2 linked regions of the Ovis aries genome follow. The protein of the gene in region 1 purifies or fractionates together with the protein of each later gene. This does not show direct contact. Links are inferred from orthologs where the notes say so. Each region holds a gene or a part of one and is shown in the gene's direction. Other genes may lie near its edges.

Region 1 (7,553 bases):
CGTCTGCTGCAGGCCTTGGTGGAGGTGAGTACCCCCAATGCAAAACAGAAACCACTATCATTCTGTTTCAATGTTTGTTTATTGAAGTATATATTTAGAAAGGTACATAGGTCATAAATGTACAGCTTGATCGATTTTCACAAATGAGCAGCCTTGTACAACTAGTCCCAAGATCACAAAATAAAACATCATCAGTATCCTTGAAGGCCCTCTCATGCCCCTCCCAGTGTTTAACCTCCCCCACCTCCAGGGTAGCCACTATTCCACAGTTACTTTTGTGGAGCATTAGTGAAAGGCCCTGTGCAAAGGGCTTTCTACACATCCTCTTGTTAAAGGCAGATAGTGGTTAACCCCACATTACACCAAACAAGGTTGAGGCTCAAAAAAGGGAACTGTTTGCTTGACATCACACAGCTAACAAGCGGAAGCAGGCTTCAAACACCAGGTTCAGGTGCCCTTTCTTTATGCCCACTGGCTATCCCAAGCCATGTTTCTTCACCTATGAGCCTCAGTTTTCCCTCTGGCTCAAACACAATAGCCTCTTTCTCTCCCATGTAGCATTCTGGGCACATGTTCCAGATCAGTGGAGGCTGGGGGAGATCTCTGTTCCACACCATCAGACAGGGACCCCAGGTTTGCTGGCTTTTTAATTGTTTAAAAAAATGTATATATGTATTTTTGGCTGTGCTGGGTCTTCGTTACTGCTTAGGTTTTTCTCTAGTTGTGGCGATCAGGGGCTACTCTCTAGTTGGGGTGCTTGGGCTTGTAATTGCAGTGGCTTCTTTTGTTGTGGAGCAGGGGCTCTGGGGCGCACAGGCTCAGTAGTTGCAGCTCCCGGGCTCTAGAGCATAGGCTCAGTAGTTGTGGTGCCCAGGCTTAGTTGCTCTGCGGCATGTGGGATCTTCCTGGTTCAGGAATCAAACCTGTGTCTCCTGCATTCCACTGAGCCACCAGGGAAGCCCACTTTGCTGTTGTAAACATGCGCTCTGCACAGGATCACTCCAAATGTGACTGGCACTCCAGCCCACAGAAAAAGAGCAAGGAGGAGTGTGTGAAGATCCCGCTGGCTATGGCTCTTATCTCTTCTAATCACTTTCCATTGGAGAGTATTTGTCACATGACCACCCCGACTACAGGGGAGGCTGGGAAGTGGGGTTCATCTGGGCAGCCATTAGCCCAGCTCCTGTGGAGGAAAGGCGAGAATGGCTTTCGGACAGCCAGCAACCTCTGCTATGGTACAGCCCCTGTGCTCAGTACCGTGTGCCTAGCACAGCCCCTGGTGCACTGCAAATGCTTAACGAGCCCTAGTTCTTCTCATTACTGCTATTGAATGTTACCATCACTCTTCTGTGCTCCCTTTTGTATCAGTACAAAAACAAGAATTTATAAAATGATCAAAGCTTTTTGGAGCCAGTTTGGGAAAACTTCCCAGAGTGGGTGGAATGCGAAGAAGAAAAGATTTCTGGTATGTGAAGACTGTCCATGTAGGTCAGAGGGAAGCAGGAAATGGTAATACTACATCTCTTTCTTCCTCTGACCATCTCTGTGCTCTTCTAGGAAAATATTATTTCCCCCATGGAGGACTCTCCTATTCCAGACATGTCTGGAAAAGAATCGGGGGCGGATGGGGCAAGCACCTCTCCCCGCAATCAGAACAAGCCCTTCAGGTGAGTGACATCGTGTCCACACTCCACAGTCTGGCCTCTGCTTCTGCTGACTTCTGTCAATCCCAACGTGGGGTAGTCTTTATATTCATAGAGAGACCGAGGACATTTTGATAAAGCCCAATAGAAGTCAGATGTGCGTGCTGGCCCAGCACTTCCACGTACACAGACTTAGTTCAGGGTTTTCATTATGGCCCTGTTCTCACTGTAAACCTAAATATCCAACTGGAGGGGACTGGCCAGCTAACTCATTGTAACTCCATATGATGAAATAACTTGTAATTATCAATCATATTAGAGAAATATAATTAATTGATATGAAAAGATGGGATCAGTAGAGTGATAAGTGGAAAACATCAGTTGTAGCACAATATGAACAATATGACCCTATTTTTACTTAAGATATATTTAAATGTGTGCACATAGCGGGTAAGAAGTTAAAATAATACATAATAAAAGTGGGAAGAGAGACTTCCTGGGTTGTCCAGTGGTTAAGACTCCACACTACCAGTGCAGGGGGTGCGAGTTCAATCCCTGGTCAGAGAACTAAGATCTCACAGGGCCATGAGGTGTAGCCAAAAGATTAAAAAAAAAAGTGAGACTAATATGTAACACAATCTAGAATACGTATAGTGTTTATATAATGTGTGTGTTAGTCACTCAGTCGTGCCCGACTCTTTGCAACCCCATGGACTGCAATCCACCAGGTTCCTCTGTCCATGAGATTTTCCAGGCAAGGATACTGGAGTGGGTTGCCATTTCCTTCTCCAGGGGATCTTCCCAACCCAGGGATCGAACCCAGGTCTCCTGCACTGCAGGCAAATTCTTTACCGACTGAGCTACAAGGGAAGCCTTAACATAAAATACATATTTTTATGTATATACCACTGGAAAGAAAATGGTAAGTAATAATAACAGATAACATAATAATTCTCTCTAGGTTGTTAGCATTATAGGTTTTCCTGTATTTTATATTACATAATATATTGATATCTGTTGCTTGTGTCTGAAACAAGATGTGTCTGTCTCTGTATTTTGATATGTAGAGACAGAGAGGGTGTCCCAAAGAGAAGGGAAGGTGTTTGCTAGCTTGGGTGCCTCAGAGGGGCCCCCATGGGCTGGCCTTGAGCTGAGCACTGCCCTCCCCTGCAGTGTGCCGCATACCAAGTCCCTGGAGAGCCGCATTAAGGAGGAGCTGATCGCCCAGGGCCTGCTGGAGTCTGAGGACCGCCCTGCAGAGGACTCAGAGGACGAGGTTCTGGCGGAGCTGCGCAAGCGGCAGGCTGAGCTGAAGGCGCTCAGTGCCCACAACCGCACCAAGAAGCACGACCTGCTGAGGTGAGTGTGGACGGGAGGCCTCGGCCACAATGGTCCCCTTCTGGGAGCTTGACGACAGGCTTTCCAAACCTGGCAGGGCCTCTGAAGACCTGAGGAGCTTTGAAAAAAGAAGTCATTGCTGGGCACCACCCCACTGGTTATATCTCAAACAGTCTAATTCCACTGACTAGAGCTGAGCATCTGTGAGTTATTTATTTACCTCAAACTGTGGTAAAAACAAATAACACAAAATTTTACCCTCTAAACCATTTTTAAGTGTACAGTTTAGTAGTGTTAATTATACTCACATTGTTGTGTGGCTTATTTTTTAATTCTCTCCATGCTGATTTTCTTTTTCTCCCAAAGTGTGCTTTTTAAAAAAATTCTTGATCTTTGTTTTTGGTGCCAAAACTCAGGATTGAACCAGGGACCTTTTGTTTCGCCCAAGTTTTATAGTGAAAATTTCATACATGCAGAAAATCTGACGGACTAGCACAGTAAACACCAATATACTCTCTACCTCAGATTAGCAACTGTTAACATTTAGTTGGGCATCTGTGATTATCAGCCTCTCACCAGGAGTTGGCCAGTGTTGAAGTGCAACGTCACTCATTGTGTATTCATTCCCATACATCTTGCCCTGCATCGGTCACAAGGATGCAGGTGGTAACCAGAGGGAGATCACGGGAGGCACTGCCATTTTATTGGGGAGATAGACAAATAGCCCAACTAAGTCTCCTTGCTTCTGGTGGGTGCTGTGTCTTCACCTCACAGAGCCCCAGCAGAGCAAGGCACGCTCATCCATTTGGCCAGGTTGCCTATCTCTTAGACCTGGTCCTGTGGGTTAGGAGGAGAGGCAGGGCAAAGGGCTTACGGTCATTGCATGAGTGGTTGGCAAAGACACTCACCAGTAGGAACGAAAGTTGCTGACGAGCTGCTGCGGTATTTGAGGATGCAGGTGTACTGAGTGTCTACCATGTACCATGGGTTTTATGTCTGCCCTCTTACTTAATCTCCACTACAGCCCAGAGAGTAGCTGGTAGTTTTCCCTGTGCACCAAATGAGGAAATAAAGGCCCAGCGAAATGAGTGCTCTGCCGAAGGCCACACAGCCAGCAAACAGCCAAGCTGTGACTCAAGCCCAAGGCTGAGTCCAAAGCCTCATTCTAGTTCCCTCTCAAGGGCAAGAAGAGGAAAATACAGATGAAAGAGTACAGAGGAAGGGAGGGCAAGGGCAGAGGGGGGGAGAGAGAGAAGTACGGCTGTGCAGATGTGGAAGTCAGGGGCAGTGAAGGAACTAGCTTGGCTGTCAGAAGGCCCGCATGTACCCCTCAGTCCTGCATGGACAGGCTGCAAGGCATCTCCTGCCCCAAGCAGCAGCTTCCCCTTCTGAAAAATCAACAGGTTAGACTATGGATCTCTTTAGTGACCTTCCAGCTCCACCATCAATTGAGTTGATAGGTCAGGTTCCGTTCAGAGGCATTAGTTGGGCGTCTCACTCGCCTCCTGTAGACTCAGGCTGCCTGGACCCTTAGGTGGCTCTGGAATTTGGATGCTGAAGCAAGCAGGTCTTCTGCTGGCACCAGGGCACCTTTTAAAGATAGTGGGAGCCAGCCTGCCTCGATTCAGATCTCCTGTTCACTAGTTGCGGGATCCTGGGGCATTTCTTAGCCTCCTTGAGCCTCAGTTCCCTCACTGGTAACAAGAATAATAGTAGTACCTACCTCACAAGGTTGTTATGAGGATTAATTGAACTACTGTTTTTGAAGAGGCAGTACTTGGCACAGGGCACACCTAAGTGTGGCTCAGTAACTTTGCTTTTTGGTATGGAAAGGCCCACGGTCCCTGGGTAGCAGACGGGCTCAGTCTGGAAGAGCGAGGAGCCCCTGCAATCGTGGGCTTCCCACAGCATCTGGTTGGCTGGTCCCCATAGGCTGGCGAAGGAGGAGGTGAGCCGGCAGGAGCTGAGGCAGCGGGTCCGCATGGCAGACAATGAGGTCATGGATGCCTTCCGCAAGATCATGGCTGCCCGGCAGAAGAAACGGACCCCCACCAAGAAGGAGAAAGACCAGGCCTGGAAGACTCTGAAGGAGCGCGAGAGCATCCTGAAGCTGCTGGATGGGTAGCTCTCACCCCTGCTCAGGCCGCCTTCCCCTGGCCTGGGACGGAAGGCCCGCTTCCTTCGGGCTTCCAGAAGTTTGGCCTGTGGCTGCCTAGCTAGTGTCAAATGGCAGCAGTCTCTAGAGGCTGGGCCCTTCGCTGACATGTTCTGGCGAAACTCTGTACAGCCAGGACATGAGAGGCCCTGCTGGGCTGGCCTGGGACCCAGACTCTGCTTGGTCCCCCAGATGAGGGGGGGGCTTCATTTTTGGGTCATCCTCACCCCCTACCCTCCCTACCCCTTTCACCCTCAAGGACTTCTCCCTTGTGGTTTTGTAAAGTGCAGACTTAAGAATAAAGTGACTGAAACATGGTTTTTTTAAAAAGTATCCAGAATCTCTGCATGTCTGTTACTGTGGGGTAGAAAGGAACTGGTGTGAGTGGCAGAGTTGACTAGGGCATGCTCAATGGCTGTCAGCCTGTGGCCACTCACCCAGGTCATTCATTCAGGGAGAACTTTCTGAAGATATCTGTGGCCACAGGTAACAACATCTCAGCTCAAGGTGGTTTGACAATAAGGACATTGTGTTAGCTAGGGGTCTGGTGTTCCGGGGGCAGGGTGGCATCCACCAGGGTTGACCAAAGGGCCAGGGATCTCCACTCTCCCATGGTGTCAGCTTTTGCCTGAAGTAGGTTCCCTTCCTGCTGTGCAGTGGCAGCCAGTAGCAGCTGATGGAGGCCAAATGCTTCCTTATTTCTGTCCAGCACAAGAGGGCAGGAAGGCACCAGCTGGCTTCCACAGCCCACCCCAAAGAAGAAGAAGCCTTTCTCAGACACCCTTAGGTCTCACCAGCCCAATCTTGGTCCTACATGCCCATTCCTGAACAAGCCACTAGCAAGGGATGACTCTAATGGGTTTAGACCACTCTCCATGAGAAAGGAGTCTGCTTCCCCACTAAGCCTAAGGCAGTGGGGAGACAGGGTAGAACAGATGAATAAACACTCTTGTTTTTGTCTCCAACTGTTCCTAAACTCTCTGTGGTGTCAGAGAGTCAGAGAATATTTTGCAATTTACTGTGGGAAGGTTGAGGTCCACATGGAGGCGGAGTGGGGAGGTGCGGGGGGCAGAGATTCCTTGAGGAAGTGACCTATGAACCGAGCATTAAAGGAGGATGGCCAGGATGGCCAACATTCTTATACGGCCAACACGTCTCCTGTTAGAGAACTGCCTTTTTCCCATTCCACCTAGCTCTGTGGGCTGTCAAAAGAGGGTGGACACATGACACCAGCATGGCCAATCTCAGTCTGCCATCCCTCTAGCCACAATGATTGGTCCAAAGAATGGGCAAGTGACCCAAGCTGGGCCAATCAGAGGCCTTCCGTAAGCCTGCTCTATGGATGCTGAAAGAAAGGAGGACGTCTCTTTTGAGCGAAAAACCACAGAATATAAGCTTGAACCACCCAGTAACCCATTTTCCAGCCACATGGAAAAGTCTGCCTGAGAATACAGCTAATTTAGGAAGCAGAGCCAGGAGATGGAAGACAGAGCTCTCGAATGATACAGCTGATGCCCTGGATCCTCCACTGGAGTTCAGTTATATTCGCCCACAAATGTTTATTTCGGCTTACGCTAGTCTACTTTGGGGCTTTGTCATTTGTCAACTAGAAAAGATGTGACTAATGAAAGTGTATTTTGGCAAAAAGAAGGGTGGTGTGCGGTCCTGAGAGAAAGGACAGCATGAGGGAGGCTCTGCCTCCTGCTATGTGGCAGTGGAGGGCCGGGGGAGGTGCTGCTGCAGCTTTTCAGTGATTCACTGCCCTGCGGTTCTGTACAGCCTTCTCAGAGAGAAACACCCACACTTAATTTCTAAAATTAAGTGCTCAATAAATTCGGCCTTGTACAAGGCACTGCTAAACTTTTTAAGCTACTGAATCTTCTCAAACATCCCTCATGTAGGTACTAATAATACCCCAGTCACAGATGAGGAAACTTAAGTCTTAGGAATTGATATACCTTGCCTGCTCAAGTAGTGGATTAGTGGTTGAGCATGGTTTCAAGCTCAGTCAATTTGACTTGCACACTGAGTCTCTTTATGACACAACACATCAGGGCCCCACTTCCTTAGAGTCTGCGTATGGTGCTTCAGCTTTAGGTGGTGCACAACCTGTACAGCAATACATGCAAGCCCTGCCTACAGACCCCCTGTTCTTAGTTACGACTCATTTCCCTGTCCATTAGACCAGACCATAAGTATAGTAGGCGTCGTTAGCACAGTGTTCCAGGAACAGCGACAGTTTTGTGGAGGAGGAAGGATGGCAGCCAAGGTCCCGAGATTAGGTAGAATTGTTAGAGAGGAAGGTAGACATTATAAATAGAAGGAAAAACCCTAGAAGACTGACTGGGCCTAGTTCACTAGGGAAAAAACGGAACTTTCAAGGATTGGTTGTGAGAATTCTCTATTGTGCATCTACC
Region 2 (7,418 bases), on another chromosome or scaffold:
GAAGGGTTGGCCTGTCCTCTGCCCCACAGCAGGTGGCTGGGTCCCTTATTCTGCAGTGTTGGAGGCCCTGCTGAACCCTCAACCGTTGACTGCCACAAACAGCTTATCTCCCTAACCCAGAAATGCTGTGAGCTTGACTTGACTCCCAACCCTACCTGTTCCATCATACTCAGGTCCCCCTGCCCCAGGTTCCTCAACAGGTGCCATAACCAGCACTATTTGGGAGGATCCCCTGCATACAACCACTCTCACCCCCACCCCCCAGGGCCCCCTGCTCCGTTTCTTTTCTTTTCAACCAGGCTTTTCCAATGTGTTTTCTACACTGTGTACACTATTTCACTGCATCCTCATTCCTCAATTCATTGCCATGAGACCTCTACTCTTACTGTTTTACTCTTTCCTTCCCCCTAAGAAATACTCCCAACCTTTGCTTTGTGAGCTCTCTGTCATAGAAGCCTACTGCCTCTTTTTTCTTAGCTTCCAGGGCTTAACTTCTTCTCTGACCACTCCCTCTTCCTCCTTCATTCCCTTTTCCCTCCTTCTCTTTCTCTGCTTCCTCATTAAACGTTGTTGTATTTTGTTGCTCTATCCTTTTGTAAAATTTTATAACTCTTGGTTTTTATTTTATCAAAGTATATGGGCACATTGTCAAATACTTCTTTAAGTCTTACTGCTAAAAAATAGCCACGCCTTATATATCTACCCCCATTTCCTGCTACTTGAGGCAATCATTTCAACTGTTTCTGATGATTCTTTAGTGTGTGCTAAGTCGCTTCAGTCGTGTCCGACTCTTTGTGACCCCATGGACTGTAGCCTGCCAGGCTCCTTTGTCTTTGGGGTTCTCCAGGCAAGAATTCTGGAGTGGGTTGCCAGGCCCTCCTCCAGGGGATCTCCCTGACCCAGGGATGGAACCTGCATCTCTTAAATCTCCTGCATTGGCAGGCATGTTTTCCACCACTAGTTTATCTCTAAATAACATGCTTATGTTGCTGTTTATTGATTTCCCCCTGCCCAATTATAGCCATTACTGACTTCCTATTAGCTTGTGATCATTCTTCTTCCTTGTCCCAATCACTCAAAATCCGCACCACCCATTCTTTTGTCCTCTCGATACAATTCTATTTTTGTCTGAGCTGCATACAGGATTTGCAATGGTACAACTGTGTAAATGCTAATCATACCTAATCCATGTAGTATCCTTGCTCTATCCTTTGTCTTTTGCTCTTCTCACTTGACTCATTGTCCACTGAAACAAATCAATGACTGGCATCCACAGCCATCACCATCTCACTAAATCGGACTTTCCATCCTACAGGGATTGATACCTCAAAAGCAAGATGTGTAATTCTCAATAGTTCATCTCCGTTCTTCCCAATCCCAAACTGTTCTCTTTTCTTATTTATAAATGACACTATGCTTGACACTTCCAACTGAGCCAGAAACCTAAAGTATCATCCAAGTTTCCCATTTCCTTCACCTCCTCCCATCATCTCCTTGTCAACAAGTCCTACTGACTCTATCTCTTAAATACATCTTTATCAACCCAAAAGTTCTTCCAATTATATTTCCAAAGTGTATCTTGAATTCATCTACTTCTCTCCAGCTCCACTGCTACTACATGAGCTGTGAGCCATATTCCCGCTCCTCTGAATTGAGGCCCTTGCAAGAAGTGCCCTTACATCCTGCCTTTCCCTAAACCATCTACCAGTTCTTTATTCACTAAGTTGTGTCTGACTCTTTTGCAACCCCATGGACTATAACCCACCAGGCTCCTCTGTCCATGGGACTTCCCAGGCAAGAATACAGAGTGGATTGCCACTTCCTTCTCCAGGGTTCTTCCTGACCCAGGGATGGAACATGGGTATCTTGCATTGGCAGACATGTTCTTTACCACTGAGCCACAAGGGAAGCCCCAAAACCAACTATCAGAGCAAATCTCATGAGGTCATCTACTTAATTAAGAGCCTTCAAAGATTACTGGATATAGGTCAAGCTTTTTATCATGACTTACAAACCTATCTCTTTACTTGCTATTTGTTTCCAAGTAACAAATTGTTTACCCTTCCCGGTCTCCCCACACTCCCCTCCATGCACTTTCATTCACTGTTGCTCAAGATATTCTGTGCCCTAACATTACCCCTGGCTTCCTGTGCCTGGCTGAGGTCCAGAATTCTTTCAAAACTCAGCTCACCTCTTGTGAATCTTTTGGCTCCCTGAAGCTAGTTGATGTGGGTATGACAGAAAAGTCCTAGATTCTTGGTTCTGATATAGACTAGAGAGAGCCTGGGGGAAGTAAGTTCAACTCTTGGAGACTTTTTCCTCATCTGTTAAGTGAGGATATTGATACCTGCCTCTAATATTCAGGAAATCATTAAGTGGAATAAACTTAATGGAATGCCTAACACACAGATGTAGGCAGCAACTATTAGTTCCCTTCCTCCCTTGCACTGCACACCCTGTGTCTACCTCCAGTATTTTAACTCCCATATATTGGTGAAATGGCAAGTTTAACTGTTAATGCCTCCCTTTGCAAGACCACTGGTGCCCGGAGGAGTAGAACCTTCTCCTACTTAACTCTGTATTTGCAGACCCTAGCTCAGGACTGACAAAAATAAATTTTTGCTGTGTTGAAAACCCCACTCTTTCACTAGCCGTGATTTTACATAAATTGTTTATTAAGACTGAAAGACAGCCATCCCTCTGTATCCTCGGGTTCTCCATCCACAGATTCACCCAACCGTGAACTGAAGATATATATATTTTTTAATTCCAATTATAAAAGACGAAACTTGAATTTACCATGCACCAGTAAACTATTCACATCGCATTGGATATTATAAGCAATCTAGAGATTATATAGAGTATACAGTGCAAATACTATGCCATTTCATATAACGGACTTGAGCATCCACGGATTTTGGTATACATGGGTTGGGGACGGGAGTCGGGGGAGTCCCGGAACCAATCCTACCAACCCTTCACCACCTATACGGACGGTGGACTGTACCTCTCTCCCCATCTGCAGCAGCACTGTGTCAGCTGTCCGGTTACCTTCACTTTGGGCAGCTGGCGGGGAAAGAGGCTATTCAACTCCACTACAAACCCTTAAAAGGCTGGATAAAGGAACTTAGAAAAGATGCAGACACGCAGGCGACCAACAGTAGAGAGGTGTCGGGGCGATGAGCATCAAAGCAAGAATTTTAGACGTCAGGCTGGGTGAGGGGGCCTCAAGCCCATAGAAGAGAATCCTCGACATTGAGGGGTTCCCATCCCAGCGGATCCACACTGGAGAACCGCGGGTCCGGACGCGAAATGTCCGCGCCAGCCCAGTTCCGCAACACTTGGTCTCCGCCCTCCCGCCTTTGTCAGGTAGCGGCTGGATGGGCGGGGAATAAAGGAAGGAGGCCTAAGGGAGGAGCGAACGTGGCGTGGGAGGAACGAGTCGTGGGGCGCGTGACGTCACCCCTGGTGTGTGCGTAAGGTGAACGGAAGCGGAAGCGGCTCTGTTCGCCGCCTCTCCCACCGGCCCGATGAGCTGCAGCGGCTCCGGCGCGGACCCCGAGGCGGCGCCGGCCTCCGCCGCCTCGGCCCCGGGCCCGGCGCCCGCGGTCTCGGCCCCCGCCGCGCTGCCCGCCGGCACCGCCGCGGAGAACAAGGCCAGCCCCGCGGGGACGTCAGGGGGGCCTGGGGCTGGAGCCGCGGCAGGGGGCACTGGAGCCGTGGCGGCGCGGGCCGGGGAGCCTGCCGAGCGGCGCGGGGCGGGTGAGGGCCGGGACGGGTGAGGGCGAGGGCCGCGCTTTGGGCTGGGCCCAGCGGCGGGTGAGGGCAGAGGGTAAGACACACCTAGCGGAACCCTCGAGCCTCCCACCTCCGTGTCTCAGTTTGCTGGTTTTCCTCCAGCTCCAGTGACGACCGGCGGCGCGGCGCCCCCGGAGGGGGCCATGTCTAACGGGGTTTACGTGCTGCCAAGCGCGGCCAACGGAGAGGTGAAGCCAGTGGTGTCCAGCACGCCTCTAGTGGACTTCCTGATGCAGCTGGAGGATTACACGCCTACGGTGGGCTTCCTGCCTGAACAAGGCTAATGACTCGCTGTCACGCCAACTTCTGCCACACCATCTGGATTTGCAGCATCCTCTTGTGTTTCTCTTCCTAGCTTTTGTGATTTTTCCCTTCTGCCCACCCAAACTGGGAGCTTCCTGATAGCCAGGCCTGCCCTCCATTTCCCTTACCCCGACTCTCAGCCCCGCTGTACACAGGGCTAACGCTTACAGTCGTCTAATTGATTTCTCAGATCCCTGATGCAGTGACTGGTTACTACCTGAACCGTGCTGGCTTTGAGGCCTCCGACCCACGCATGTGAGTAAACTCTGGGCAGGTTAGAGTGTTGGGTGTTTGTGTGGAGTTTATTGTCTATGCTCTTCTCATACCATTTTTTTCTCTCCAGAATTCGGCTCATCTCCCTAGCTGCCCAGAAATTCATCTCAGATATTGCCAACGATGCCCTACAGCACTGCAAAATGAAGGGCACAGCCTCTGGCAGCTCCCGAAGCAAGAGCAAGGTGTGAGGGGAGGCTCATTGATTCAGTAATTACTTCCTACAGCAGCAGAGGCTTAAATTATCCTGAAACCCCTTTGAGGGAAATTAAGCCTTAGGGGAGGTGAAAGACCTACTCAGGGTCACCTGCCTGGGATTGAAATCTGGAATTCCTGTGTTCAGCTGGTGCTCTTCCCTCTTCCCTCAGGACCGCAAGTACACTCTAACCATGGAGGACTTGACCCCTGCCCTCAGCGAGTATGGCATCAATGTGAAGAAGCCGCACTACTTCACCTGAGCCACCCAGTCTAAATGTACTTGTCTGTTCTCTTGTCCCCACACCAGCCTGTTTTCATAATAAACTTTATTGTGACAGGCAGGGCTGATCCCTCCCATGCTGGGAGACACCGTGTGGCAAGTGACAAAGCTTTGAGCCCATTCCCTTTTGGGGCCACAGTGGTAGGGATGGGGGCAGGGGATGGGCCCCATGGCTGGGGTAGTACCATGACTAGTGGCAGGGGAGGCAACCAGAGGCCTACTGCTTTGGGGAGGTGCACTCCCCTAACCGTGTCCTGACACCTCTGGAGTTCAGATAAGGACTTTCCAGCTCTACTTGTCCTGCATCTTCTCCAGGATAGGCACGATCATGTCAAACTTGGGCCGCTTAGCAGGGTCTTCATTCATGCAGATCTTCATGAGTTTACAAACGTGGGGGGAAATGCCTGGTGGGATGGTAGGCCGAAGGCCTTCCAATGCCACCTGCAAACACAAGGAAAAACAAGGTGAGTCTCAGAACTTGAGTCTCATGTCGGGAGAGACGTCTAGCCCTCAGGACAGGATTCTGTGTATTTGAATCAATGTGGCAGGAGCCCAGCCCCACTACAATTATTGTCACTACCACCACAAGTATATCCAGTTATGCTCTCACCTTCATTCCAATTTCCATGTTGGAGAGGTCAGCAAAGGGTACCTCCCGTGTCACCAGTTCCCACAGAAGCACTGCAAAACTCCACATATCTGCTGAGCGTCTGTTTGTGTCTTCAGGCTTCTTTTGCAGAGCTAGAGGGATAGGACTTATCTGTTCCAGCTGCTTGTCCTGTCTGTGTTCCCTTCCATTACTACTGAGCTGCCCCTTCTCTGCCTCACATCATAATGCCATCACTCACCTTCAGGAGCCACCCAGGCAGGTGCATACATGCGCCCGGGGCACTGGAAGGAGAACTTGACGTCGGCCATACTGATTCGAGCAGTCATGTCCTCATCAATCTGAGGAAGAGAAGATAGTTGTGTGGAAGGAGGTAAGTCCTATTCTAGGGAAAGGACCTCTGGGGCTTGGGCCGGGAGTGAAGTTGTGATCTCACCATTACACTACGGCTGTTGAGTGCATGTCGTGGGATGAGGGGCTCTAGTGTGTGTAGGAAGGCCATGCCCCTTGCCATGTCCAATGCAAACTTCACAGCCTGGCTCTGGTCCACAACGAAATCTAAGTGAGAAGGCAAGAGTTAAATCATTTGGAGAGGCTCACAGACTTTCCTTCCCCACACCCTGCTGCAGTGAGATTTGGCACTCCCTACTCACTGGTGCCTTCATGTAGCACATTGTACAGGGATCCGTATGGCATCCAGTGTGTGATGAGGGTCGGGTGAGGAGCAGGTGGAGACTGACAGGCACCAAGCACTGGGAGCACATTGGGATGTGAGAAAATCCTGGAAGAGGGAGAGAATGCCCCTGGCTGAGATCCAGCATAAAAGATCTCCCTCTGGGTGCTGACAGGGCTCCTTGAAATCAAGGCTTCCAGTTTAGGCCTTGCCCCACCTGAGCCGGGGACACTCCTCATTGAAGTCCCTGCTCTTCCTTGTACTCCAGTCTCGAACCTTTAGCATCTTCACGACAATGTCATTGCCCTGCCAGCGGCCCTTCCATAGCTGAGGGACAGATAAGGGTTAGAAGGCTTTAACTAAGGCCACTGTTTTCTTGCCCACTAACTGGAGGAGAGACTTAAAACAGGTGCACAACAGGTAATAGGGTGGGGTGGGGAGTTACCTCTCCAGAGTGATTCTCGTTGAGCTTCGCCAGGAAGTTGAGCTGTTTGAAGTCAATGCCGGAGTGTTTGTTCAGAGTCCCATTTCCTGAGAGTGTGGGCAGGTCAGGCACCCAGCTTCCCTCTTTCCCAGCCCCAGGAGTCCAGGACTATTCTCTCACCACCCCTCCCCTCACAGCTGACTCACGGGGCCGAGTGCGGGTAGTCCCCTTCCAGAATGTGTCCTTGTATGGAATACGGTTCAGATTCTGGCCCATCTTCTCTGCCCGCTCTGGGGAAGAAAGACAAAGTCTTGACCTCAGCTGTTGTGTGGAAAGAGACAGGCTAGGACAAGACGAGGACACAGCGGTGGGTGGGGACAGACCTCGGAGCAGCTCTCTCAGGGGTGCCTTGGCTTTGTCCACAGGCATCTCTCCATACTTGTTACAGATGCTGACAAGGGCCCCATTCGCCACAAGGTCCTGGAATTAAGAGATGGCTGTGATGAGGGCATTCCCAACTAAGCATGAGTGCAGATGCAGTACAAACCTTGTGAATGTTGCACACAGGACAGTACTCACAGGATGGGTTGAGGGTTCCAGAGTCTCCCACTCAAGCTCAAACTTCTTCCCACCCATCCCAGAGTTCAGGGCCTGAGTACTCACCTCTGCCACCTGATCTTGGCCCCAGAAACAGGCATAGTGCAGGGGCACATTCCCATGCTCATTCACCGCATTGATGTCAGCTTTGTACTGTAGCAGCTGGTGCCCATAGCCAAATAGAAAGAGGTAGAAGGTACAGTCAGTCCCAAATGAGAGAAGTGTACTAAGGCATGCAAGGAAGGAAGGAGATGAGTACACATAC

What was found.
Region 2: the proteins of TADA3 (region 1) and TAF10 purify together in Homo sapiens (affinity purification with mass spectrometry; 5 studies listed by BioGRID and IntAct, counting the BioPlex papers as one, with this or other methods). This does not show direct contact. The link is inferred for Ovis aries from reciprocal best matches to the Homo sapiens genes TADA3 and TAF10.

Annotation. Positions count from the first base shown.
Region 1 is NC_056072.1:16,900,744-16,908,296, forward strand, and holds the end of TADA3 (transcriptional adapter 3), read left to right. Parts: coding exon 1-24; intron 25-60; exon of another isoform or gene 61-558; coding exon 559-633; exon of another isoform or gene 634-1,557; coding exon 1,558-1,667; exon of another isoform or gene 1,668-2,816; coding exon 2,817-3,002; exon of another isoform or gene 3,003-3,078; coding exon of another isoform or gene 3,079-3,172; exon of another isoform or gene 3,173-4,913; coding exon 4,914-5,106; 3' UTR 5,107-5,469; downstream 5,470-7,553. UniProt on the Homo sapiens protein: Functions as a component of the PCAF complex. The PCAF complex is capable of efficiently acetylating histones in a nucleosomal context. The PCAF complex could be considered as the human version of the yeast SAGA complex.
Region 2 is NC_056068.1:46,193,452-46,200,869, forward strand, and holds TAF10 (transcription initiation factor TFIID subunit 10), read left to right. Parts: upstream 1-3,505; 5' UTR 3,506-3,530; coding exon 3,531-3,762; intron 3,763-3,900; coding exon 3,901-4,055; intron 4,056-4,291; coding exon 4,292-4,356; intron 4,357-4,444; coding exon 4,445-4,559; intron 4,560-4,742; coding exon 4,743-4,832; 3' UTR 4,833-4,913; downstream 4,914-7,418. Other genes in the region: ILK (integrin-linked protein kinase), read right to left, coding at 5,144-5,293, 5,463-5,593, 5,701-5,800, 5,896-6,017, 6,113-6,240, 6,350-6,459, 6,578-6,663, 6,763-6,846 and 2 more. UniProt on the Homo sapiens protein: The TFIID basal transcription factor complex plays a major role in the initiation of RNA polymerase II (Pol II)-dependent transcription.